Linked DNA regions of Caenorhabditis elegans. The protein of the gene in region 4 purifies or fractionates together with the protein of the main gene of each other region. This does not show direct contact. Each region holds a gene or a part of one and is shown on either strand. Other genes may lie near its edges.

The links.
Region 1: the proteins of spe-9 (region 4) and mtcu-1 fractionate together in Caenorhabditis elegans (co-fractionation; one large-scale study listed by BioGRID). This does not show direct contact.
Region 2: the proteins of spe-9 (region 4) and W03G1.2 fractionate together in Caenorhabditis elegans (co-fractionation; one large-scale study listed by BioGRID). This does not show direct contact.
Region 3: the proteins of spe-9 (region 4) and Y51A2D.8 fractionate together in Caenorhabditis elegans (co-fractionation; one large-scale study listed by BioGRID). This does not show direct contact.

The regions. Positions count from the first base shown.
Region 1 is NC_003279.8:14,769,889-14,776,890, forward strand, and holds mtcu-1 (TrmE-type G domain-containing protein), read right to left. Parts: upstream 5,120-7,002; 5' UTR 5,109-5,119; coding exon 5,042-5,108; intron 4,843-5,041; coding exon 4,575-4,842; intron 4,050-4,574; coding exon 3,918-4,049; intron 2,868-3,917; coding exon 2,585-2,867; intron 1,431-2,584; coding exon 1,024-1,430; intron 978-1,023; coding exon 815-977; 3' UTR 801-814; downstream 1-800. Other genes in the region: F39B2.5 (SH2 domain-containing protein), read right to left, coding at 5,367-5,654, 6,359-6,477, 6,526-6,650, 6,703-6,749.
Region 2 is NC_003282.8:522,874-527,033, reverse strand, and holds W03G1.2 (Ribosomal RNA-processing protein 8), read right to left. Parts: upstream 2,383-4,160; 5' UTR 2,338-2,382; coding exon 2,281-2,337; intron 2,219-2,280; coding exon 1,987-2,218; intron 1,507-1,986; coding exon 1,097-1,506; intron 1,044-1,096; coding exon 738-1,043; intron 694-737; coding exon 646-693; 3' UTR 543-645; downstream 1-542. Other genes in the region: Putative sphingomyelin phosphodiesterase asm-3, read left to right, coding at 3,295-3,334, 3,389-3,561, 3,621-3,693, 3,909-4,000, 4,156-4,160.
Region 3 is NC_003283.11:18,549,366-18,555,783, forward strand, and holds Y51A2D.8 (Cysteine proteinase), read right to left. Parts: upstream 4,486-6,418; 5' UTR 4,482-4,485; coding exon 4,336-4,481; intron 3,935-4,335; coding exon 3,854-3,934; intron 3,496-3,853; coding exon 3,132-3,495; intron 2,088-3,131; coding exon 1,893-2,087; intron 1,766-1,892; coding exon 1,675-1,765; intron 971-1,674; coding exon 687-970; 3' UTR 638-686; downstream 1-637. Other genes in the region: ttr-24 (TransThyretin-Related family domain), read right to left, coding at 6,096-6,233, 6,314-6,418.
Region 4 is NC_003279.8:11,581,956-11,588,010, forward strand, and holds spe-9 (Sperm transmembrane protein 9), read right to left. Parts: upstream 4,115-6,055; 5' UTR 4,093-4,114; coding exon 4,047-4,092; intron 3,986-4,046; coding exon 3,885-3,985; intron 3,823-3,884; coding exon 3,746-3,822; intron 3,699-3,745; coding exon 3,591-3,698; intron 3,502-3,590; exon of another isoform or gene 3,403-3,501; intron 3,371-3,402; coding exon 3,082-3,370; intron 3,032-3,081; coding exon 2,957-3,031; intron 2,905-2,956; exon of another isoform or gene 2,832-2,904; intron 2,728-2,831; coding exon 2,661-2,727; intron 2,604-2,660; coding exon 2,498-2,603; intron 2,455-2,497; coding exon 2,315-2,454; intron 2,246-2,314; exon of another isoform or gene 2,156-2,245; intron 2,071-2,155; coding exon 1,872-2,070; intron 1,824-1,871; coding exon 1,739-1,823; intron 1,696-1,738; coding exon 1,535-1,695; intron 1,481-1,534; coding exon 1,304-1,480; intron 1,256-1,303; coding exon 1,188-1,255; intron 1,138-1,187; coding exon 995-1,137; intron 948-994; coding exon 804-947; 3' UTR 788-803; and 1 more. Other genes in the region: pals-1 (Protein containing ALS2cr12 (ALS2CR12) signature), read right to left, coding at 1-31; C17D12.5 (UBC core domain-containing protein), read left to right, coding at 4,296-4,334, 4,684-4,773, 4,823-4,976, 5,203-5,339. UniProt on the Caenorhabditis elegans protein: Required for fertilization. May be required for cell adhesion and/or function as a signaling molecule.

The DNA.
Region 1 (7,002 bases), 3.2 Mb from region 4:
CAAAACCTTTTACAGAAAATAGATGATACTTGTGCAAAATGAGACGTTTTGACAGAAATCGGGAGTCAAATGAGATATGAGTGTCTGCTTTCCCATAATATAATTAGGCACTGGAAAAGAGACAAGAAGAGAGAGAGAGAGAAAAGAGTTCTTAAGGAGACTTCTACCGTTGTAGTTTTTGAATTAAAAAACGACTTTTTTTCTTTTTCACTTATTAGTGATTTTGAACAACTTCAGAACATAAATTTTTTTTGACCACAAAAAAAGGGCGAAACCAAAATGTTGAAACTCTTCTAAAATGGTTAATTTTATAGCTAGGCGACTCAAAATTTATCTCCAAACAATAAAAAATTGCCTTTTTTCAGAATATAGTGGTTTTGCACACTTTGAGAAAAATTATTTTTTTGCCCAAAATAAAAGAAAAAGGACAGTCATTAGATGGCCGAAAAAAAATTTTCAGAAAATCTAGGTATAACCCATCAAAAACTATTAAAAAATGGCAAAAATGGGCAATTTATGGCAAAAATTCACAACTTTGAAACACATCTAAAATGGGCAATTTTGAAGTTAGATGACTCTAAATTGATCTATAAAGACTAAAAAATTGTCCATTATCAGAATATAGTGGCTTTGAACATTTTCAGAAAACTTTTTTTTTTGCCCAAAATAAAAAAAGGACAGTCATTAGATGGCTGAAAAAAAATTGGGCAAAAATCAAAAGGTGAAAACGGGTAATTCATACACGCTGAATTCAGAAAATCTAGGTTTAACCCAAAAAAAAACTATTTAAAAGTGCCAAAAATGGTCAAAGCTTTTATTTTCCGATACAAAATTTGCTAAAAATTCCATCTAGAACACTTTCAGTGACAATTCCCTCGGTGAGCTCTCCGATTTGTTCCAAGGCAACTTCCAGATGTGAACACATGATTGCTGCGTCGTTACACGTTACAGCTGACTCCAATTCGAATGAGCATCTTCTGAAATTAAAACAACTTTGAATATTATTTTTTGACAAAAAAAAACCTTAACAGATCTGCATCTAGTAAATAACTTGCTTCAGGACACAGATCATCTACAATTTCTCCCAAACAGTTTTGAAGTTGTTTGCAGCCAGTATCTGTGGTAGCATTTGTAGATACAGTAGTGAAATTTGAGGGAAGTTTTGGATACTTCAGACTCAGATCAGACTTATTCTTTGCAATAATCACACGAGCTTCGCGATTTCGCATCACTTCCACGTCATTCAAAATCGATTCAACATCGTCATCCGACGTGAATTGTGGATCCACGACAACGCAGATAATGTCAGCTGATTGGATTCGTTTTTGAGCACGTCGAATACCTTCTGCCTCAATGACGTCATTAGTTTTTTGTCGAACTCCAGCAGTGTCTGTGAGACGGCATCGAACTCCGTTAATTTGAATGATTGTCTGTAAGATTTTCAATTAATGTTTGGAACATTTTCCAGGCACTCTAGGAGTACTGTAGGATTACCGTAGTTTTCGAAAAATTGACTTTTCGTCTTTTGAGCTACAAAATTGCCCGTTTTAGAGAAGATTCAAAATTGTGAATTTTTGCTATAAATTGGCCATTTTTGCCACTTTTTAATAGTTTTTGACGGGTTAAACCTAGATTTTCTGAATTCAACATACATAAATTACCCGTTTTCAACAAATTTAGACAACTTTTTATTTTTGCCCAAATTATTTTCAGCCATCTAATGACTGTCCTTTTTTTTTATTTTGGGCAAAAAAATAATTTTTCTGAAAATGTTTAAAACTACTATATTCTGAAAAAGGTCAATTTTTTTATAATCCTAAATCAATTTTGAGTCCTCTAGCTACAAAATTGCCCATTTTAGAGAAGATTCAAAATTGTGAATTTTTGCCATAAATCTGCCATTTTTGCCACTTTTTAAAAGTTTTTGACGGGTTAAACCTAGATTTTCTGAATTCAACATACATAAATTACCCGTTTTCAACAAATTTAGACAACTTTTTATTTTTGCCCAAACTATTTTCAGCCATCTAATGACTATCCTTTTTTTATTTTGGGCAAAAAAATAATTTCCCTAAAAATGTTCAAAACTATTATATTCTTAAAAAGGAAAATTTTTTTAATGTTTGCAGATCAATTTTGAGTCCTCTAGCTACAAAATTGCCCATTTTAGAAGAGTTTCAAAATTGTGAATTTTTACAAAAAATTGGAATTTTTGCCACTTTTTAAATTTCAAAATTGTGTGTTTTAGAGGAGTTTCAAAATTGATTGTTCAAGGGAACGTGGCTAGGGTACTGTAGTAGTACTGTAGGGAATACTGTAGGATTACTGTAGGGTTACTGTAGTTGGAGAAAAACTGGTTTTTCGTATTTTGAAGGGTTATTAGTTTGGTGTTAATAGGGGGATATGATTGGAGTACTGTAGTAGTATTGTAGGGAATACTGTAGGATTACTGTAGTTTTGGAAAAACTGATTTTAGTTTCAGAAAAAAAAATCGCAAAAGAAAATTTGATTGAAATTTTTTGGTTAATTTTTGAAAAATTTGAAAAATTTTAACACTTCAATAGGTTTATATGATCATTTTTACTTCCAAACTATCTCTCGTGGTTCCAGGAATCGAGCTAACAATTGCCACGTCATCATGCGCTAACTGATTTAAAATGCTTGATTTTCCGGAATTCGGTCTTCCATAGAGCACAATATCCAATCCACGTTGAGCCCGTTCTGCACCATCCCACGCTTTGATCATTCGATTGAGTTCATGAAGAATTTCAGAGACATCTTGTTGAGCTTCGCGTAATTCCAAGTTCACGTGTTCTCCAAAATCAATGATCACAAATAGTTTCGATAGAATTTGAATTAATTGCTTCCTGAAATTGAGAGTAAATGTCAGGGGTATGCGGCACGAAGTTTTTGTCGACAAATTCAGCAAATTGGCAAATTGCCGGTTTGCCGAAAATTTCAATTCCGGCAATTTTCCGATTTGCCGGAAATTTCCAATTCCGGCAAATTGTCGATTTATCGGTAATTTCAATTCCGGCAAGTTGCCGATTTCCCGGAAATTTCCATTCCAGAAATTTGTCGATTTGCCGGAAATTTCAATTCCAGCAATTTGCCGATTTGCCGGAAATTTCAATTCCAGCAATTTGCCGATTTGCCGGAAATTTCAATTCCAGCAATTTGCCGATTTGCCGGAAATTTCAATTCCAGCAATTTGCCGATTTGCCGGAAATTTCAATTCCAGCAATTTGCCGATTTGCCGGAAATTTCAATTCCAGCAATTTGCCGATTTGCCGGAAATTTCAATTCCAGCAATTTGCCGATTTGCCGGAAATTTCAATTCCAGCAATTTGCCGATTTGCCGGAAATTTCAATTCCAGCAATTTGCCGATTTGTCGGAAATTTCAATTCCAGCAATTTGCCGATTTGCCGGAAATTTCAATTCCAGCAATTTGCCGATTTGCCGGAAATTTCAATTCCAGCAATTTGCCGATTTGCCGGAAATTTCAATTCCAGCAATTTGCCGATTTGCCGGAAATTTCAATTCCAGCAATTTGCCGATTTGCCGGAAATTTCAATTCCAGCAATTTGCCGATTTGCCGGAAATTTCAATTCCAGCAATTTGCCGATTTGCCGGAAATTTCAATTCCAGCAATTTTCTGATTCGCCGGAAGTTTTCAATACCGACAAATTGTCGATTTGCCGGACATTTCTATTCCGGCAATTTGAAAAAATGTATTATTGAAAAGCTCGTACGATATCATAAGTTTTAATGAAATTTTTAAAAATCCCTATAAATCTTTTTTTTTCCTTTTTTTTTTAAGTTTTTTTTTCCAAAAATTCCAAATCTCGAGGGATTTTTTTGTTTTTTCAAATTGCTTGCGAACAATATAAAATTCCAATTTTTCTCACTTCAATACCTTATTTCAATAGCTCGAACTCCACCACGCATTTGACCAAATGCCGCATTTCGTTCTTTTTCGGTTCGAGATTTAATTAGCCGATCGATTCCTCGAACCTCGGAAATGCTCAATTTTCCGTTGTGAAATGCTCTGTAAATTAACTAAGAGTTATTATAGAGACCCAAAATGTGCATTTAAATGCATTCAAAATATTTTGAAACAGATGTGCAAGCGCGCTCAACTGCGGAAAGTTTGGAATTTTTATTCGGCGGCAAAACCAAAAACTCTAATGTTATTTTGTTTTCATGGTTAAATGAAAAATTAAAGCACTTTTGGACATTTTTTCAACATAAAATTAATTAATAAACGACAGGAAACATAACAAAAATAACGAAAACTTATTGAAAACGTTCGAAATTACGGTTTTGCAGCAGCCAAAACCTAGCGAGACCCAACTTTTAGCCGTGGAGCGCGTTTTAACCAGGGGTGGACGGCAAACAATTTTTCCGGCAAATTGGCAAATCGGCAAATCAGCAAATTGTCGGAATTGAAATTTCCGGCAAATCGGCAAATTGCCGGAATCGCCGAATTTGTCGAAAAAAATTTGCCGAACGGCAATTGCTGCCCATCCCTGGTTTGAACCCCGATTTTTGAAAATCGTATGCTAATAATAACCTCCTCGTGAATTCTCCTCGCTTCGCTTCTCGAACATTTTGAATTCCAGCCAAACATGAGGCAAACTTCACGGCCACGGCCTGACTTCCATGTAGAAAAAACTCGGCTGTGTCTTCTCCGGTAAACGTTTTCGGGCCGGGAAGATATACCGCCATTGCTTCATCGATGATTTTGCTCTCTGAATCGTACAATTTCGTGTATTTCATCGTTTTCGGCTTCCAAACTTTTCGACGGCTCAGCTGGCGGAGTACGGGGAGGCTTTGTGATCCTGGAAAAAATACTGTGAATACTGTGAACAGTAAGCTCAGAAAGCCTTTTTTTGGGGGGGGGGGGGGTTTCGCAAGAGCATCGTACGAATTTTTTCAGAGATTTTTATATTGTTTATGGCTATTTTGGCAGAAATTTTTTCAAAATGAACCATTCGTAACCTAATGGAATTTTTTTTTTCAATTGTTCTGAAAATTAACCTGAAACGCGGAACATCGCAATTGCGCTTGGCAATGTGCCAGACGATAGGGCGAAGATTGTCGACATTTTCTAAATGCCTGAAAAAATTATTCTTTTCCAATTAAAAAAAAATTTGATTACTCGAAAGGTTCTTTTTTTTAATTTCAAAATTTTCACGATCTTAAAAAAATGTTTGAAAATTTAATAAAAAACAGGATCCGTGACAATTTTTCTGGAAAGAAACCGAGATTTTATGAATATATAACTTAAATTTGAGAGAAAAAAGTTATTTATTAAGCATTCAAAAAAAACCCCGTAATTCGATATAATTCAAAACTAAAACAATTAATTATTAATTACACAAAATCTTAATTTCAATTGCTCTTCACATTTCTTCAAATCAGGAATAATCCATTTCGAATCACTCAAATACTTTAAAATCGTTGGTGGCAGAGGAGCTGTTTTGGGTGTCGGTGGTTTTTGTTGACTCGTTTTCAGGGTAAATCGACAGAGGTACTGTAGTGATGGTAGAAGCTCTCGTTTTGTGAGTGGACGTGTTAAATTGACACGCGCTGCTTCGGCTTCATGTCCACGTCGATAGTGGAGCATTTCTTGTTGTCCTGTTAGGGATTGCTGAAAAAAGTTTAGTGTTTTTTTCCGAAAAACTACGATTTTTTTTGATTTTTGAAACATTAAATTATTTTTTTGCTTGAAAAACTCAGTTTTTTTCGGATTTTTGAAAAAAAAACTAATTTCTGAAAAAACTGAACTATTTTCTTTCGGGAATGTGGTTTTTTTTGTGAACAAAAATGGTGATTTTTTAATTTTTTTCTGCAAAAAAGTGAATTTTTTTTAGAACAATCGATTATTTTTCTCGTGATTTTTTTTTGGTTTTTCGAAAAAAAAAGGATTTTTTCTCGATTTTATGAAAAAAAATGGTTGTATTGTGTTTGATTTGTTTTTCAATTTTAATTTTTAAAATTATGTTCCGAAAAATTTTTTTTTGATTAATACTCTTTTTTAATTTCTAATTTTGAGAAAAAAAGGACATACTTTCGGAAAATTTGAATTTTTTTAGTTTTCGAATTTTTTAAAAAGAAAAATAATTATTTTCACTTAAAAAAAATAGTTTTTTTCCGTTTTTCGGAAAAATAATTTGCTTTTAAAAAAATATATTTTCGATTTCCGGAAACATTTTGGGAAAATTTCGATTTTTTTTAACTCTTCGAAAAATATTTTCGACCTTTTTGGCCTGTCACAATTTTTTTTTAAAGTTTTACTCTTTTCCGATTTTTTTAAAATCAAAAATCATAGATATTTTTAAATGTACTACATACCTCTAAACTTCTCTCAATAATTTCCACAAGATTCCAATAGTCACGTGAGACGTATGGCTGCCGACTACCCAAATTCCGTCGTGAATCTTCAAGTGACAAGCGCGAATGATAGACTCTATCTGAAATTATATTTATTTGGAAAAAATTGATTTTTTGAAAAACAATACCTTGAAAATGATAAGAAACAGTGAAAAGATGAGTTTCACTTCGACTGTCTCGAATTAAAAAATATCCGATTGGGCACAAAAGGAGCAGCCGTTCTGCCCATTTCCAGTCCAAATCTCCCCAATACCTGGAATAAAATAGGCATATTTAAATCTTTTTTCAGTTATTTTATTGTTTACCAATCACAATCGTAAAGATCAGAACAAATCACCTTGTTGGAGGGCATAGGAGCATTGAAGGAAACTTTTGTTACTGAAAATAGTTTCAATCTTAACAAAATTAATTGAATTTTAAAATTGAAGATTGTCGATTTACGGAAGTCGTGTACTCCACGAGGAGAAGATTATGATCCGATTCTTTCCGAATTTAATGTTCAAATCGCAATTATATCTCTTTTTCAAAAAACCGTCGCTGTTTCCAGGCGTGGGCGCCATATATTATTAAATCAGCAATTATTTTGCATGAAAATGGAAATTCCC
Region 2 (4,160 bases), on a different chromosome or scaffold from region 4:
AAGGTATCCGGAAATTAGTATCGCATGCAATACTATTAGAAAATATGCCGGAAAAAATTCTCGGCAAATTGTGGTTTCGCACTTTTTTTTTGGAAATTTCAGAGTTTCAATTTCAAATGACAAAATTGTACGCATCGTATAAATGTTCCTACATCTATTTTTAAAAGTAAGCTCTATGAAAATATGTAGAAAAAACAGAAAAAATTCATCCGTCTGTTAAAAAATCCCTTTAAAAATTTCCGGCAAATCGGCCAAAGGGAAAATTGCCGGAATTTAAAATTTCAGGTTTTTACCTAAATTAACTAATGTAAGTACCAATTTCCCTCCCAAGTCCAGAACTAAGCTCCCATCATCATTTTTATTTACTCCACTCTCACTTAAATTTTTTTCAAAAACTTGTATTTATTGCCTTCTTCTGTTATTCCTTACCTCGCTCATCACATAATGATTTCATTGTTTTACTTTCTATCCACTCCCACTGCAAAAATTGAAACCTTTTTCACTTTTTTGCTCGCATTTCCTTATTAAAATTAATAAAAATTTTTAAATTAAGCCCTGAACGCACACTTTATTTATAAAATCAAGGCAAAATCAAGTTCAGTTCTAATTCGATGTGGTTGTATTGGTGGTAGAAGTGCTGGCGTGTCACTTTCCAGAACGAGCGGCTTTGGCCGATTCGATTGGGTTGATTCTCTGAAAATTTTCAATTAGCTGTTCCCCAGCCGGGAATATCTCACCGAGTAGATGTATGTTGCTTCCGGTTCCTGTGTATCAAACTGGACCTTCTTGTCGGAATACTCATCATCCACTTTTCCATCACTCAGCGCTCGAGCACTCTCATGGACAAGCAACAGACTCCGAATCGTGTTGGAGAACACCAGCCCGGTCTCAAAGTGAACTTCATCTCTCTTCTTCAACTCCACCAACGGTTGTAGCTCGTTGAGCACCAGTTTCGTGGGGGGAATGCTTTTGAGACTGAGCTTCTTGTTTCGGTACATCTCCAAATGATCGGTACTCACAGTGATCGCCTCGTCGGTCTCTTTCTGAAATTTTTTAAAATTATTTTTCCTGAGACCTACACAAAAAGATAACTCACCATGTCATCGTCAGTTGGTTCTATTTTTACTGCCCAGGTGGGGACGTCCTGACCCTTGTACACATCTTGCTCTGGTTCCTTCTTAATGTCCTCCAATTTTCGAACGTGATCATAAGAATCCTCAACGGGAAGTAAAGACGTCTTCAGTTTCTTCTTTGAAGTGTTGGTACGGTAGAAAGTGGATGGCTCGTCGCACAACATCATACCATCGGGCTTATTCTTCAATCGATATGGTTTTTTCGGCACTCGATCCATCAGAAGCTTGCTTTTCGCATCGATTGGTTTCGGTTTCGCCGCCGACTTCTTCTTTTCCCTCAACTTCTTATAGACTCGCTCCGTCGTCTTATCATCCACCTCGTGATTCGTGACCTCGATGTTTTTCGGTTCGTTGAGCCGTGTCGTTCCGGGAACTGAAACAGGAAATTGTGGAGGTGTTAGGGTTTTGGATTTTCAGGTAGGTACAAAGATGCCTGCCTACCTACCTACTAAGGTAGGTAGGCATTTTAGTGTCTACCTAAAGGCAGAAGATGAACAGGCAAGCACAATTTTTTTGTTGGAATTTTTTTTATACGTCATTAAATAATTTTGCTTCCACGTGGACGTCGTGGATTTCAATGTTTCAAATTGATTTTTTTTTTTCGAATAAAAAATGTTTCAAGAGTTTCCAGAGGCTTTAAAAATTTTTCATAAGCTTTCAAAAATGTCTAGATGCTCCCAGAAGCTTCTGAAAATTTTTGGAATTTTTCAAAGTCATCAGACGTTCCAAAAACTTTCCAGAATCTTCCAGAAATTTTCCAAAGGTTTCTAAAACTTCCGAACCGTTTAAAAAACTTTCCTGAGCCCTTTAAAAGTTTCCAAAAAAATTTCAAAAAAAAAACACTAGAACTCACTGCGATTTGCATTAGGAATCTCATGATCTTTTACAGCTTCCGGTGCTTTTTCCTTGTAATTCACCGTTCTTGAATCATTTTTCCTTGCTATCAACATCTTTTCCGACTCTTTCGATTTATCCACCGACAAAGATCCACTAGTTGACTTAGTTTTTGTCTTCTTATTTTTACCATGTTGCTTCGACTTTTGAAGTTGTTGCTTTTTATGACTGCGTGCCTTAGATTTCTTTTTCTGAAATTTAATTAGTTCTGGAAGACGCCTGGAAATTGAAAATTTCGAAAATCACAACTTACTTTTTCGTTAATATTTTTAACTTTTCTTCTCGAGCTTTTTTTGGACAATTTCTTCATGATGGGAGAAGATGCAACGCGAAAGTTTCGAAATACAAAAATAATGAAAAAATTCAGAGTGGGGGTAGGGGATGTGATAAGAATCTTCTCGTATTTTTGAAGTTCACGTTTTTTTTAAATTGAACTTTTGGTGCAGTTTTTTGGAGTAATTTATTTTATTTAAATTAAAAAAAAACATTTTCTTAACCTTTCCAATGTACATAAGCACAAATGTGCCACTTGCCTGCAAGGCGACCTATGCCTTCAGGCGAGAAATATGCGGTAGAGAGGTAGAAAAAACGTATTCTGGTTTTGAAGATATATATTAATTTAATATTGCATAACTTTTTTCGGTTTCGCACGAAAATTTCTACACGCCTTTGAAACGGCCTACGCCTGCCTTTTGCCTACAGTAGATAGGCCCATAGGCAGGCAGGAAAGCCCAACTAGTTAAAATGTTATTTTTTAATTTTCAAGTTCACGAAAAATGTTAGTCTGCAGGCCACTAGAACCACCTACACCTGCCTCGTTCTACACACATTCCTAAAATAGGCGGTAGGCAGGCATAAAATTTCAACATTGCAGGAAAACATGCCATTGTTGTAGTTTCTCTTGAAATTTTCGCGCCGATACAAAAATGATAGCTGCCTACTAGGCGACCTGCGCCTGCCTCGTGCCTAAAATAGGCAGTAGGCAGGCACGTAGGCACTTTGTCCAGAAAAAAGGTTTTATTCACATTTTTTGGTGCATTTTCAAGAAAAATTTCTATATTTGAACTTTTCCTCTCCAAAAAGTTATAGTTTCCAAAAAACTTGTAGTCTCCATACCTGATAAGTCGTTCAAAAATCAGTGAGCATTCCCAACGTGTCATCGCCATGTGCTTCTCCCGCTCCAAATTTCTTATCTTTATTACTGGAAACCTCGGCTTCTCCCCCTCCGCCGCTGCTCCCGTTTAACATCAGAAACGATACGGCTCCGATGCTCCTAGGTCTTCTCGTCCTTTCTCTCGCATTTCAGGGTAGAGTTTTAGATTTACATTTTTGTGTTTAAATTCCAGGAAAAAATTTTCCAGGCACCCTCGCGGTGACAGAATGCGAGGAATGCAAGTCAATTGTGGACCTTTTGCAATTTGAGTGGGGAGAAAAGAAGACTGAAGAATGTGTTATGGAAATTGCGGTTTTTATTTGTGAAACGTTCCATATTGAAGATAATGATGTCTGTAACTTTATTATTTCGGATTTCTCAGTGAGACACATTAATATTTAATTTAATTTTAAAAATGTATTGAAAATCAAAGATTTCAGGACGAATTCATGTATGTCATCAAGCAAATTCTCGTGACTCCACATCAACTTTGCGGATTGCTTATGAAAAATGGTAAGTACTACCATGCCTAGGCACAAACATGCCTACCTACATGCCTACTACCAGACCGACGCGTAACAGTGACCCGCCGCCCTAATAGAACATGGGGTGCGGGGCGGCTTGAGAAGATTCTAGTAGACTGCCAAGCTGATCACTATCTTTCAGGCTAGTCACGCATGTAGGCGCGTAGGTAGGCACGATTGCATGCCTATTTGGAATTATTTCAGACTGCGGAGACTTCGTGGATCCATTGGCGACAATTTGGAACATGACGATTCCTGGAAATCAGCCACCATTCGTGCCGAAACAAGTTGTTCCGGTAGGTTTTTTTTTTGACAAAAAAGGTATGCCTACCTATGCCTGCCTACTACTGTCTACTGCCAAATTTTCCGAATGCCACTAGATAAGTGGTAGGTTTGCACGTAGGCATAAACAGGCGCCTACCCCGACACCAACAAAACCTCCAATTTTCAGCCAGG
Region 3 (6,418 bases), on a different chromosome or scaffold from region 4:
TCAGGTTTGCAAAATTTTCCAGTTTGGGCCAAGTTTTTGTTCCAGATTGTCGAAACCCGAAATTTCAGTACTTTCAAACTTAAAATTCCAGATTTTCAAGTCGAAATTCGAATTCTCCATCAAAAACTACCCCTGAACCCGGATTTTCAGAGCTCTAGTGCAAAATGTCGTCAAATCGGGTGTTTTGGGTTACTGTAGCGTGGTGTTTGCGAACTTGGCACCAGATTTGACGGGATTTTGCACAAAAATTCTGAAAATTGTGGGTAGGGGGTAATTTACCACGCGGAGTTCGAATTTGAGCTTAATTTTTCGAAATTCCCAGATTTGGGCCAAGTTTTCGGTTTAAATTTTAGAAATTTCAGCCAATAAGCTGATTATTTCCCAAAATTGCCTCCTCAATCGGATTCCACGTTGAAGATCACCAACTGCTGGTAAAAGCAAGGCACAAAGCAACTTTTTGAAATTTTGGGCCTGAAATGGCCTGAAATGGCCTGAAACGGCCTGAAGTTCAAGTTTTTCGAATATAGTCGATATGGGTGTTAAATCAACACATTTTTTGCGTAGAATTCAATTTTTTAAGTAAAACAGCTTAAAATTGAAGAGTTTTTGTGAAATTTGAAGAAACAAATTTTCGAAAAAAATAATTATTTTTCATTTTTTTAACAAAAAGAAGTGAGAAAAATAAATTAATAGTAATAGTTATCTTTATGATCTTTGATGTCTCCAGTCATTGGTTGATCCTCAATTGAGCACCAATCCCTACCCCTGACCACTCGAACATATCCCGACTCAGCCCAATCGCCTCCCCAGGAGTTCTTGATAATCCAGTAGTCGTGACTTCTTCCACGGCTATCCTCAACGGTATCGTAACCCACAATTGCTCCGGCATGCCATTGAGTAGCTCTTCTACAATCGTCCTCAATGATCACTCCTTCTTTATATTCTTTGAATTGATCGCCGACTTTGAAATCTGGAATTTTTTTTTTTAATTTCGAGTTTTTTCGAAAAACTTGGAGTTTCTGCAGGTTTTCAGCTAGATTTTTGAATTACACGTTAAATTTGCAAAATTTTAACACCCATATCGACTATATTTCGATAAGTTTGGGTTTTGGGCCAATTTCAGGCCGATTCTAGGCCAAAACAGGCCTGAAAAGAAAGTACTTCATATTCAGCAAAACTTTTGAGTTGGTTATTTAATTTTCAAAATTTTGGCACCGACATCGATTTCGATCGGCAAATTTCGAGTTTCGGGCCGGTTTTAGGCCGGTTTAGGGTAAAATTGGCCTTGAAATGAAATGTTCCAAATATTTTCAAGTTTTCAATTGAATGGTAAAATTGTGACACCAAAACAAAAGAATTTTGAGTATTGAGCCGATTTCAGGCCGAAATAGGCCTGAAACAGGTCTTAAAATATAATTTACTGAAATATAGCCAAAATACTTGGCTTTTAATTGAAATTTTTTTTTGGTACACTAACATGGGCTATAGACTGAAAATTTTGAGTTTCAGGCCGATTTTAGGCCAATTTTAGGCCGTTTCAGGCCCAAATTTCAAATTTCTCCAAATATAGCCAATATGGATGTCAAAACTTTGCAAATTTTTAGGAGATTTTGAATTTAATAATTTCAAAACTCCCGGATGTCCCATGTCCCCCAGTTGGTCCCGCCGACTTACAGACAGCTACTGGGACCTTCCACTCGGTGAGCACCTGGATGATTTGTTCTTCGGCTCGGCGTGGGTTGATTACGGCAAAGTTGAAGGCTCTCTGAACAAAATTTGGTAGAAAATTAAAAAATTTGATTCTAAAAAAAGTAAAAATTTTGAAAAAAAAATTTTTGAAAAAAAAATTTTTTTTTTTGGAATTTTTTCAAATTTTCAAATTTCCAACTCACAGCCGGCACAATTCTGTCAGTTTCTCTTAAACGACATCTTCTGCCCTGGTTAGCCCGATTTTGATCGTAAGGATAGTCTTCATCTCCAGAAAGCCCATATTTCTTGACGTACTGGACTCCGAGGGTCAAGCTTCCTCCCTTACATCCCGGTGTTCCTTCCGTACCGCAATCACAAACCTCTTGGTCAGATAGGGACTGAAAATATTCAAAAATTTACATAGAAATTCAAAAATTCAGTGAAATTCTGAAATTCTGCCAAGTTTAACTGAAAAATTTGAAACTACCGTAACTTTGCCAATTTTTAAGATTTTTTTTAGTTTCAAACTGAAAATTGCGCCTAATTATATGATCTGCTATATTTGTAGTAGTCAATCATGAAAAAATGTCAGTTTTGAGGTTGTAAATGCGCTCCAATGAGAATTCTTACAAATTCTGTTGATTTTGACTAGAAAATTTGAAACATCCGTAAATAGGTCAATTTTCAAGATTTTCTTATTTTTAAAAAAGAAACTAGTGAAATAACATGTGATCTACACTAAATACATTGAAAATTTGAAAAAAAAAATTAGTTTTGGGCTTGCCAATGCGTTTCAATAAGAATATTTCAAAATTTCTCATTTTTTGACCCAAATTTGTGAAAAATCGTATCTTGGCCAGTTTTCAAGATTTTCTTATTTTTCCAAAAGAAACTAGTAGAGAAACATGTGATCTACATTAACTATGCACAAAAAAATAAGAGAAAAGTTAGTTTAGGGGTTGTAAATGCGCTCCAATGAGAACTCCTCAAAACTCTGTGTATTTTGACTAGAAAATTTGAAACATCCGTAATTTGGCCAATTTTCAAGATTTTCCAAATTTAAAAAACGTGTACAATACCAATTTTTGCAAAGTTTAATATTAAAATAGTCAAAGTCTAATAAAATTTAGTGTAAAAGCAGTAAACGCACTCCGCTGAGAACCTACTGAAAATTCGTTCAACTTCGCTTTAAACACTTGAAACTAACGTAACTTTGCCATTTTTCAAAATGGAAAACATAGCAAAAAATGTGATCTACGATATATTTACAGAAAAATAGAATTAAATTTCAGGCTAGAGGGTGTAAATGCGCTCCAACGGCAATGTTTTCTGTTTTCAAAAAAAAATCGAAAAATTCGAGTTTTCACGCCAATTTTTCACCGATTTTCCTCGAACTTTCACAGTTTTCATTCAAATTTTTCAAATAATTGTTTTATTTTTACCTTAAACTTTCCAGAATGTGCTGCATACACAGTCTCCACCAGTGCGGTGACCGCGAATCCCCAGCAACACGCACATTGCCCCTGATCCTTGATCGGGCCCACAATGTATCGCCCGTTGATTTTCTCGTTTCTCAAGTCGAAATAGTCTGGATAGCGTGTTGATCTACGCTTATGGCGTGTTTTATTCATGTCGGCCGCGCGAAAATCCGGTTTTTTCTTGTCGAAGTTGAGCATTGGGAGCCCTGTATTGTTGCTGGGCACTACATTGGACAAACGGCCGTGGAATTCGGCGGTGGATAGGTCAGAAAACTTGTTAATGCCAAATTGGGTGTCATATCCGGCTGCTTTTGACTTTGCGTTTAATCTGAAAAAAATTGAAAAAAAACCGAAAAAAAAAAATTTTTTTGAAATTTTTTTTCGAAATTTTTTATTCAAAAATTTCATTTTTAAACTCAAATTTAAAACATTTTCATTATGAAATTCGAAATCTACGCCTCAAATTACCCCTGTCCCGAAATTTTCAACGCTTTAGTGCAATTTTGCGTCAAATCTGGTGTTTTTGGTTACTGTAGCCTAGTGTTTGTGGACCTTACACCCAATTTGACGGAATTTTGCGCTAAATTTTTGAAAAACGGGGTTAGTGGTTATTTGCTACGTAGAATCCGAATTTCGACTCGAAATTTGAAAATTCTGAAGTTTGGGCCATGTTTTTTTTCACTTACTTATCGACATTGTTGTAGGATTTTACGAAATTATTGAATCTCTGCTGATTCTCCGACTCGTCCTTGTATTTTCGGTTGTACCTGTGAAAAATTATGTTTTTTTTCTCAAAAGTGGCTTAAAACGGCAACAATAAGATTTCTGAAAAATTTTAATAGAAATGTTCAATTATTTCTGAAAATCGAAATTTCAACACTTCAAAACCATTTTTTTTTTGAAAAATTATGTAAAAATTCGAATTCTCCACCCAAAATTACCCCTGCACCCTATTTTTCAACAATTTCGTGCGAAATGTCGTCAAATCCGGTGTTTTGGGTTACTGTAGCCTGGTGTTTGCGTACCCGGCACCCGATTTGACGGGATTTTGCACTAAAATTCTGAAAACTCAGGCGTAGGGGTTATTTGCTATGGGGAATCCGAATTTTTAATTGATTTTTCAAAATTTTGAAGTTTGGGCCAAGTTTTCGTTATTAAAAAAACTCACTTTTTTTTAAAATCCTCAAAAGCCTTGTAGAGCTTCTCCGGATGGTCCCGATCGATATTAATTTCAAAAAATTCGGGTTCTGTAATATTGATGGAAACTACCCCTGAAATGGGTAGAACCACCAGGAAAATCACGAAAACTTGCATTTTCGCGGCGAAATTTTGATTGCCTCGGGCTACGGTTGGCTTTTAAGCTTCCGAGTTTTATGGCCGAAATCGTAAAATTTTCCACTTTTTCGGGGGAAAAAGTTGGAAAGATCGGGGTGATTCTGCACATTTCGACATCGAATTTGTTGGGGTTCTTTTATAGATTTTTGGTGTTGACAGGGGGTTGAAAAATTAATTTATGAGCAAGTTATTGAAAATTTTGATTTTTTTCAAGCCTTGTTACATGAAAATTTGGAATCTTCATAAAATTTCCGTTTATTTGACCCCCATATTGGCTATATTCGAGGAAATTTGAATTTCAGACCAGTTTTAGGCCGTTTCGGGCTTTTTGGAGCCCAAATATCAATACACTCAGTTTAATGCCAGTGCGTTTGTAGTAATTTGCCAACTTGTATAAGGAACTACTAAATTGGTTATGTTTGCGGAAAATTGAATTTCAGACCAGTTTTAGGACAGTTCAGGCCGTTCTAGGCTTGAAAACAAATATTGACGGGTATATGTCGATAATTTCAGCAAACGTTTTTGAAAAATTTGAAACTGTGAAATAAAAGTTATTTAAAGGAAAGTTTTGTATTTCAGGCCATTTTCAGGCTCCGGGCCGTTTTTTGCCCAAAATTTCAAAGTTTGTAGAACATAGCCAATATGGGTTTCAAAACTAGGCAAATTTCATGAAGAACACGAATTTTGAGTTCATATTTCTCAAAATTTTACCGGGTGTCCCCGAATGTCCCATAGGTGTCCCATAAGTGTCCCACTCGTGGTTTTCAGGCTATATTTGTCAGAAGTTGCTCTTTTTTTACAGAAACACTTGCATAGATGTAGTTAAGCGTTTATATTGCAAATTAAAACATGAAAAATGGTTTAATTTTGAACGGTTCAAATATTTTTCCAAAAAAAATTTTTTTTTTAATGTACATGGCAATATTTTTTATATCATTTTTATGGATTTGACATTTACATCGGCTATATTTCAAGAAACTGGGCTTGTCGAAATGATTTGGACCGATTCGGGCCGTTTCAGGCCGTTTCAGGCCTGAATTTCTAGATTTTCTGGAACTGCGTTTTCACTTTTAGGTTTTTCTTATTACTGCAAAATTTCTACACTTACCTTGACCTAAATTCGTGGTGCTCATATTTCAAGTCTAGAACGGCCTGAAATGGCCTGAAATTGGCCTGAAATTCAACATTTCATTGTTATGCAAGTTAAATCAAAAGGCTGAAAATTATCTTGAAGTTTTAGGTGAAGAAAATCTATTTTTCAATAAATTTTGAGTTTCGGGCCAGTTTCAGGCCGTTCTGGGCCGTTTTTTGGCCAAAACGTCCAAATGTTCAGAGTATAATCAATATGGGTGTTAAAATTTTGCAAATTTTATGAAGAACACGAATTTTACATTTTTATTGTTTAAAATGTCCCCTGGTGTCCCCGAATGTCCCATAGGTGTCCCATAAGTGTCCCTCTCATGGTTTTAGGCTATATTTGTCAGAATTTGCTCATTTTTTTTACAGAAACACTTTAAAAATTGTAATTAAACGTTTATTTTATGAAAAATGCCAATTAAAACATAAAAATTATCAAAAAATTACAAAAAAAGTTTAATGAATGCAATCAGTGCCCTCTCCTGGGTATCTGTTAGCCAAATTGAGGGTTCCGATGTCGAAAAGTTGAGCTTCTTTGGATCCTTTACCAACTGCATTTTTTGGAACATGAATAGTCACTTTTTTTGGGCAGAGCTGAAAATTTCAAAATTTTTGAATTTTTTTTAAATAGGAAAAAAATCGAATTTTTTCAATTTTTTTCTCCAAAAACCTACTCCAGAATAGTTGCATTTATGATAAATATTGATTTTCGGGTCAATCTTGCGGATTTTATTCTGGGATCCCGAGACCTTGAATGTTCCATCAGCAATTGTTTTCAC
Region 4 (6,055 bases):
TTTTTCGATATTCTTCATTAAATTTGTTCATTCTGAGGTTGAAAATGCAACTTTTTTTGAAAAAAAAAATGGTGAAAAAGTCAAGGGGAACGTATAAAATAGGATAGACGGAAAAATGAATGTGTAGGGCGAGGGAGGGGGACTGATAACACCGATAACGAATAACGATGAGGAATGAAGGGGTTCGGCGGAAGAAATTGATTTTCAATTCGAGAATGAGTCATCCAAGTAGGCAAAAAATTATGCCTACCTTCAAAGAGACCTACGGCAGGTTGTCAGGTAGGTATCAGGATAGACCTGCCACCTGAATCAATGCCTGCCTACCATGCAGACCCCCTAATAGTGAGAAATAGAGAGGGACTAGCACCACGGGGTTCTGGCCTTCCTCATCACGTGGCGTCAGAAAGTCTCATTGCGGTTTGATCTACAAAAAATGCGGGAATTTTTTTCCAGACAAATTGTGATGTCAGCACACTCTTAACCATGCGAAATCAGTTGAGATGCCTGCGTCTCACCTCTCGCATTTTTCGTAGATCAAAGCGAAATGGGACTTTCTGACTACACGTGCCTCATTGAAATTTGAGCGCTACATTGGCAATCGCCCGCCGGACAACGCGTGGGACAGTCGTGTATTCGACACGGACAAATACATTTAGTTTTACAGCTAAAATTGAGCCGCGACGCGACACGCAATGCGCCGTAAATATGAATCCGTGTGTCACCGATCATTTCCTGAGCAAAACTTTCTGATATTTGCAAAGCTTTATAGATGTTAAATAACAATTAATTAAAAAAAAATGTCTTTATGGATTCTCAGTTTTCACTTCTGACGTTTTCTTCGCCTCTTCTACTCTTCCCTGACGCCGTCTACTGATCACAATCACTGGCAGAAGAATAGCCAGCGAGACGAAGCACGCAACCAGTGGCAACGAAAATTCATAGTTCTTCTGAAACACGCAGAAATATTATATTTTAAACTATTTGAGTAATTTACCATAAGCCGATTGGTCATCACACTGGACCAGGCGATTTCCACGTTGCAGTCGAGACCCTCAAATCCGTCGTCACACTCACACGAGAAGCCCCGGTGAAAGTACTCATCATTGATACAGGTTCCATGGACGCAGATTTTGTTTCCTGTAGGCTTAGCGGTAGGCAGGCAGGTAAACATGAAGCTTCTAACTTACCAAACGCATCACACGAGTCATCCACATTCTCACACAACGAGCCACGTGTCCCATTGACGCATTGACAGCTGAAAAGAACGACTGTAGTTTGCAGTATCTGTAGTTTGTAGCCCTACTCATAACTCCGCTGCTTTGGGTCGATATGGCATGTGGCACTGTTCTGGCACAGGTTTTGGTAGCAGGGGTTTGTATGGACTTTGCAAAACGGTGGAAGGTACCCGGCTTCGCAGAGGCATCGGAATCCCTGGCGATTGTCATTGTCGTTACAGAGAGGCATCAGGTCATCGGCATCGCTGAAAATATTAAAGTAGGTAGGTAGGTAGGTAGGTACAAAGGCAATCTCTTACCTCTCACAAGGAACACACCGTCCGTTGCCACAGGCTCCGGGAGCACACTTCTTCTCGTTAATTTCCATGCAGGCTTGGCTTTCCGGGTTCAACTTTGCGGATAATGGGCATAAGCATTGATAGCGACTTGTGCCGAATGCCACGTCGGCAGTGTTCGGTATCTGAAATTTTTTCGCTGATTTTCAGAGGCCTCGATGTGCCTACCGGGATACAGTCACCGTGCTTGCAAGGTTGCCGAGCACACGGGTCGAAGATTTCGCATTTCTCGCCGGTGTAGTCCGGCTTGCATCTGAAATTAGGGCTACTAGGTAAAAGGCAGGCAGGTAGGTGCACTAACACACAATGAGCCACTCCACTAATATCCACACATGCTCCGTGTTGAGAATCCGTGCACTTTTCGTCCCACCGGTCCCCGCGAGCCACCTCCTCTCGAGTCAAAGAGCAAGAGTCATGGCGTTTGTACTCACAATAGTAACCGTCGGTGAGAGGATTGGTACATTCGCAGCGATAGATGTAGTAGGCTCGGGAGCTGTTCACTGAAACATTAGGTATGAGAATGGAACAAGGCAGGCATAGGCCAGAATTTTGTGCATACGTTTTAGCGCGGTGTTAAAAATTTTTACAAAAACGTAAGCCCAATGCGGGGCTCGAACCCGCGACAACCAGATTAAGAGTCTGGTGCTCTACCGACTGAGCTAACCGGGCGGCGAACGTACTGACAAAAAGGTGTTAGAAAAAAGTTGAGTTACCGGGAGAATTGTGGTAATTGAATTTTCCTACCTCGAACAACTTCAGGTACACACTTCCCATCATTTCTACACCATCCATCAGTCATCGTCCCATTGACATTCTTCCCATCATTGTAGTCATTTTTAATTGCTTCCAACTCCGAAATGTCATCCATATATTCCAAGGAAATACTGAAAATGTGAGTTTTACAACCATTCTATAAACTTTTCCTACTTTGCGATGAATTTCTTAAAAAACATCGTCGAATTACTTCCCTCGGCACATGGAATAAATTCTTTGGGGGCTGTTGAAGGAATTTGAAGGGTTTCGCAGTTTTCACCTGAAATTTTTCTGAAATTCACAGAATTTGAAATATTTTTTTTTTTTTTTTACCCACCTGTTACAGTACCACCAATAAGTTCAATCGCAGAAGGACATTTACAGGTGGCAGTGACGGTTTTGGTCTGAAATAGAAGGTGTGTAATTTGAAGGTCACTTTTTGTTCTGTCTATCAAGTCTCGTTGTTACCCAACATTTCTCTAGACCCTCTGTTGTAAGAGTTAACGCCGCCCGGTTAGCTCAGTCGGTAGAGCACCAGACTCTTAATCTGGTTGTCGCGGGTTCGAGCCCCGCATTGGGCTTACGTTTTTCTATGTTTAGATAAAATATTTTCTCGAATCTTGAAAAAAATACCTTCCAATCTACCACATCTTCACATATTCCACCATTATCACATTGAGTGTCGAAGCAAGCTGATATTTGTTCACACTGGAATTTAAACATATTTCAGAAGAAATTCTGAAGTTGTAAACGCTCACTCTATCTCCAAAGAATTGATTTTCACATTCACACTCGCATTTTCCAGTCGCATTAATTGCTCCCTTGCCTCTGCCCAAACAATACACTTCTTGGCAAGTTCGATCTGCTTCAGACTCATCGCATAACCCGCCAAAGTACCCCTTTTGGCATATACACTCGTAATTCACTTCTAAATCGATTTCAGCCAATTCTTCATTTGTTAAAGCTGCTTTGGATCCGTTTACTTTTCTTTGGACACGAATTTGTCTCAAAAGAACTGTATTGACAATAGTCCGCAGGCTTTTGATGCTGAAACAGAGGTAATGATAATTTAAAAAAGGGAAAAAAAGAACTGAAGAGAGTGGGATTCGAACCCACGCCCCCGAAGGGACTGGTGCCTTAAACCAGCGCCTTGGACCGCTCGGCCATCTCTCCGCCGGCGACTAACGGCTGGAGGGCATAGACACAACTTGTGTACACCGAAACAGTTGCCATAAAAATTCACAGAAAAAAACGAATGTTTTCCAACCTGACACACGTAGAATTATTCTGACACAAGTGTTTCTCGCAATTCGTTTGATCTGACACGTGTTCACACGTTTTTCCGTAATGTGTGACCGGGCAAATGCAATAGAAGCTGAAAATATTGCCTTTTTAATCTGAAAAGTTGGCAAAAACTCTCACTTTCCATTTTCATGCAAGCATTTTCCCCGATTTGAGCAAATTTTCGGATTTTCCAGACAAGGATTGAAGTTTTTGTTCTAAAAATATTTAAATTCCATAAAAATGCAAACGCGCCCCATCGCAAAAATCGATAATTTACCCTTTTCACCGCCAGACTTTCTTCATTATAGTTGGGTGTTTTTTCAATATCATTCGGAGCATCTTTCTCCAAAAAATCAATAATTTTTCTGATTTTTGCACCTGAAAATTAAAAAAATCGATAATTTTTCCGAAAAAAATCGATAAAACATGAAAAACTCACAGTCGCCGGCGAAAAACAACACAACCAACACCAGAATCACATTCATTTTACGAAAATTTCAGAGCAATAATGCAAAAAGATTGCGTAAAACGAATCGATAGCATCGTGACGTTCCAGTTTATTGATTTTTCGGGATAAATCGATAATGCTCGAAAAAATCGATAAAACGTGAAAACTCACTGTCGACGGCAAAAAACAACACAACCAACACCAGAATAACATTTATTTCACGAAAATTTCAAAGTAATAATGCAAAAAGTTTGCGAAAAACGGATCGATAGCGTCGTGGTGAGTTAGCGTTCTAGTTTATTGATTTTTGGGGAAAAATCAATAAAAAAACCGACAGGTTTTCAGAAAATTGTCGAGAATTTCTGGGAAAGTTAAAAATGTTTCAAATGGGGCTCCCAGGGCTCCCAACTGAGTGAGGCGCAAAATTCGGGCTTCACGCCGGCCCCTCTCTGGCCCTATCCGGCCGGCCTTACGCCGACACCGCGCGCCGCTGTGTGTGTGGAGCGGCTATTTGGTAGCGGCCGACATGTTTGCGGTTCCGCGCCACACTATTCATGCGGCGACCTCATGGGAGCCCTACTTTCAGAACAAAAATCGATGTATTTTCTAAATATTAATTCTTTTCCAGGCGTCGGCTGTCGAGGGTTCTGGAATGTTCTACGCGGTGAGATTCGAGCCGCCGCCGTCGAAAACTTGCTTTGACGTGACTCTAAAGACGGTGAGAGCGGCGGCGCCACGCAAAAAAAAAATCAATAATCAAATTTCAGTACGGACCGCCCTACACCGAGTACATCGTAACCGTCGCAATTCCGCCGAAATTCCCGTTCTCGCCGCCGGCGATCACTTGCAAAACTGATAAAAATATGAAATTCCTGTTTTTGGAGGAAAATCAATGGAAACCGTCTACCGGAATTGTTGCAGGTAGAGAAAATCGATAATTCTCCCCTTTTTTCAGCGAAAAAATTATCCTGAACGTATTTTTTTGGTAGCAAAACAACCGGATTTTTCTATTTTCTTTTTCAGAGGCTTCAGTACTAAATCCGTTGATAATCTCTTGTTTGTTGTCTGGTTACTGATACAATTTTTTAGTGATTCGAAATTTTATTTACCATGTGCCTACCTTAAACCTACAATATTCATTTTTCAGTCCTTATCGAAGCCTGCAGTGTGATTTCGCGTCGAGACCTGGTCCCCCGTGCACCGGTTCTTCCACGCATCCGTCCACCACAAGCACGTACGCCAACTAGTGCTTCGCCTGCAAAGTCGCCACAGAAAGCTGATTGATTGATTTTTGAGTAGAAAAAATAAAGTTTTGAATGTTTAAATTGAGTTTTTTACATTGAAACAGGTGGAAATGGAATAGACTTCTCGGGATGTATGGGTGACTGACCAAACCACTTGAAGAAAATTAAGAATTTATCGTCTCAGTCCCACTACTCCTACAGTAGTCCTACAGTACCCCAACATCATCCCTACAGTAACCCTAAAGTACTCTTACAGTAACCATACAGTACCACTACAGCTCCCCTACAGAAACGCTACCGTAACCCTACAGTAATGCTACAGTACTCCATCGAGTAAGTACCACTATGATACCCTTACAGTAACGCTACAATAGGCCTACAGTACTACTAAATTATCACTACAGTACCACTAAGGAACCCCTCGAGTTATCCTAAATTATTACTACAGTACCCCTACAGTATCTGTACCGTAACCCTACAGCAACACTACAGCAACACTATAGTAAGCCGACAGCAATTCTACAGTATCACTACAGAACCCCTACCGCAACCCTACAGTAACCCTACAGTACCACAATTGTAACCTCACAGAAGCCCCTACAGTATCCCCCTAGCACCACTACAGTACCCCCTCGAGTAACCCTACAGTACCCCCGACAGTACACTAATCCCAATATACATAGGAACCCTTCACTTGCCGAAGTCTCATTTTTCCAAAATATTGAAAAAACAGTCCCCATAATTGACAGCCGTGGG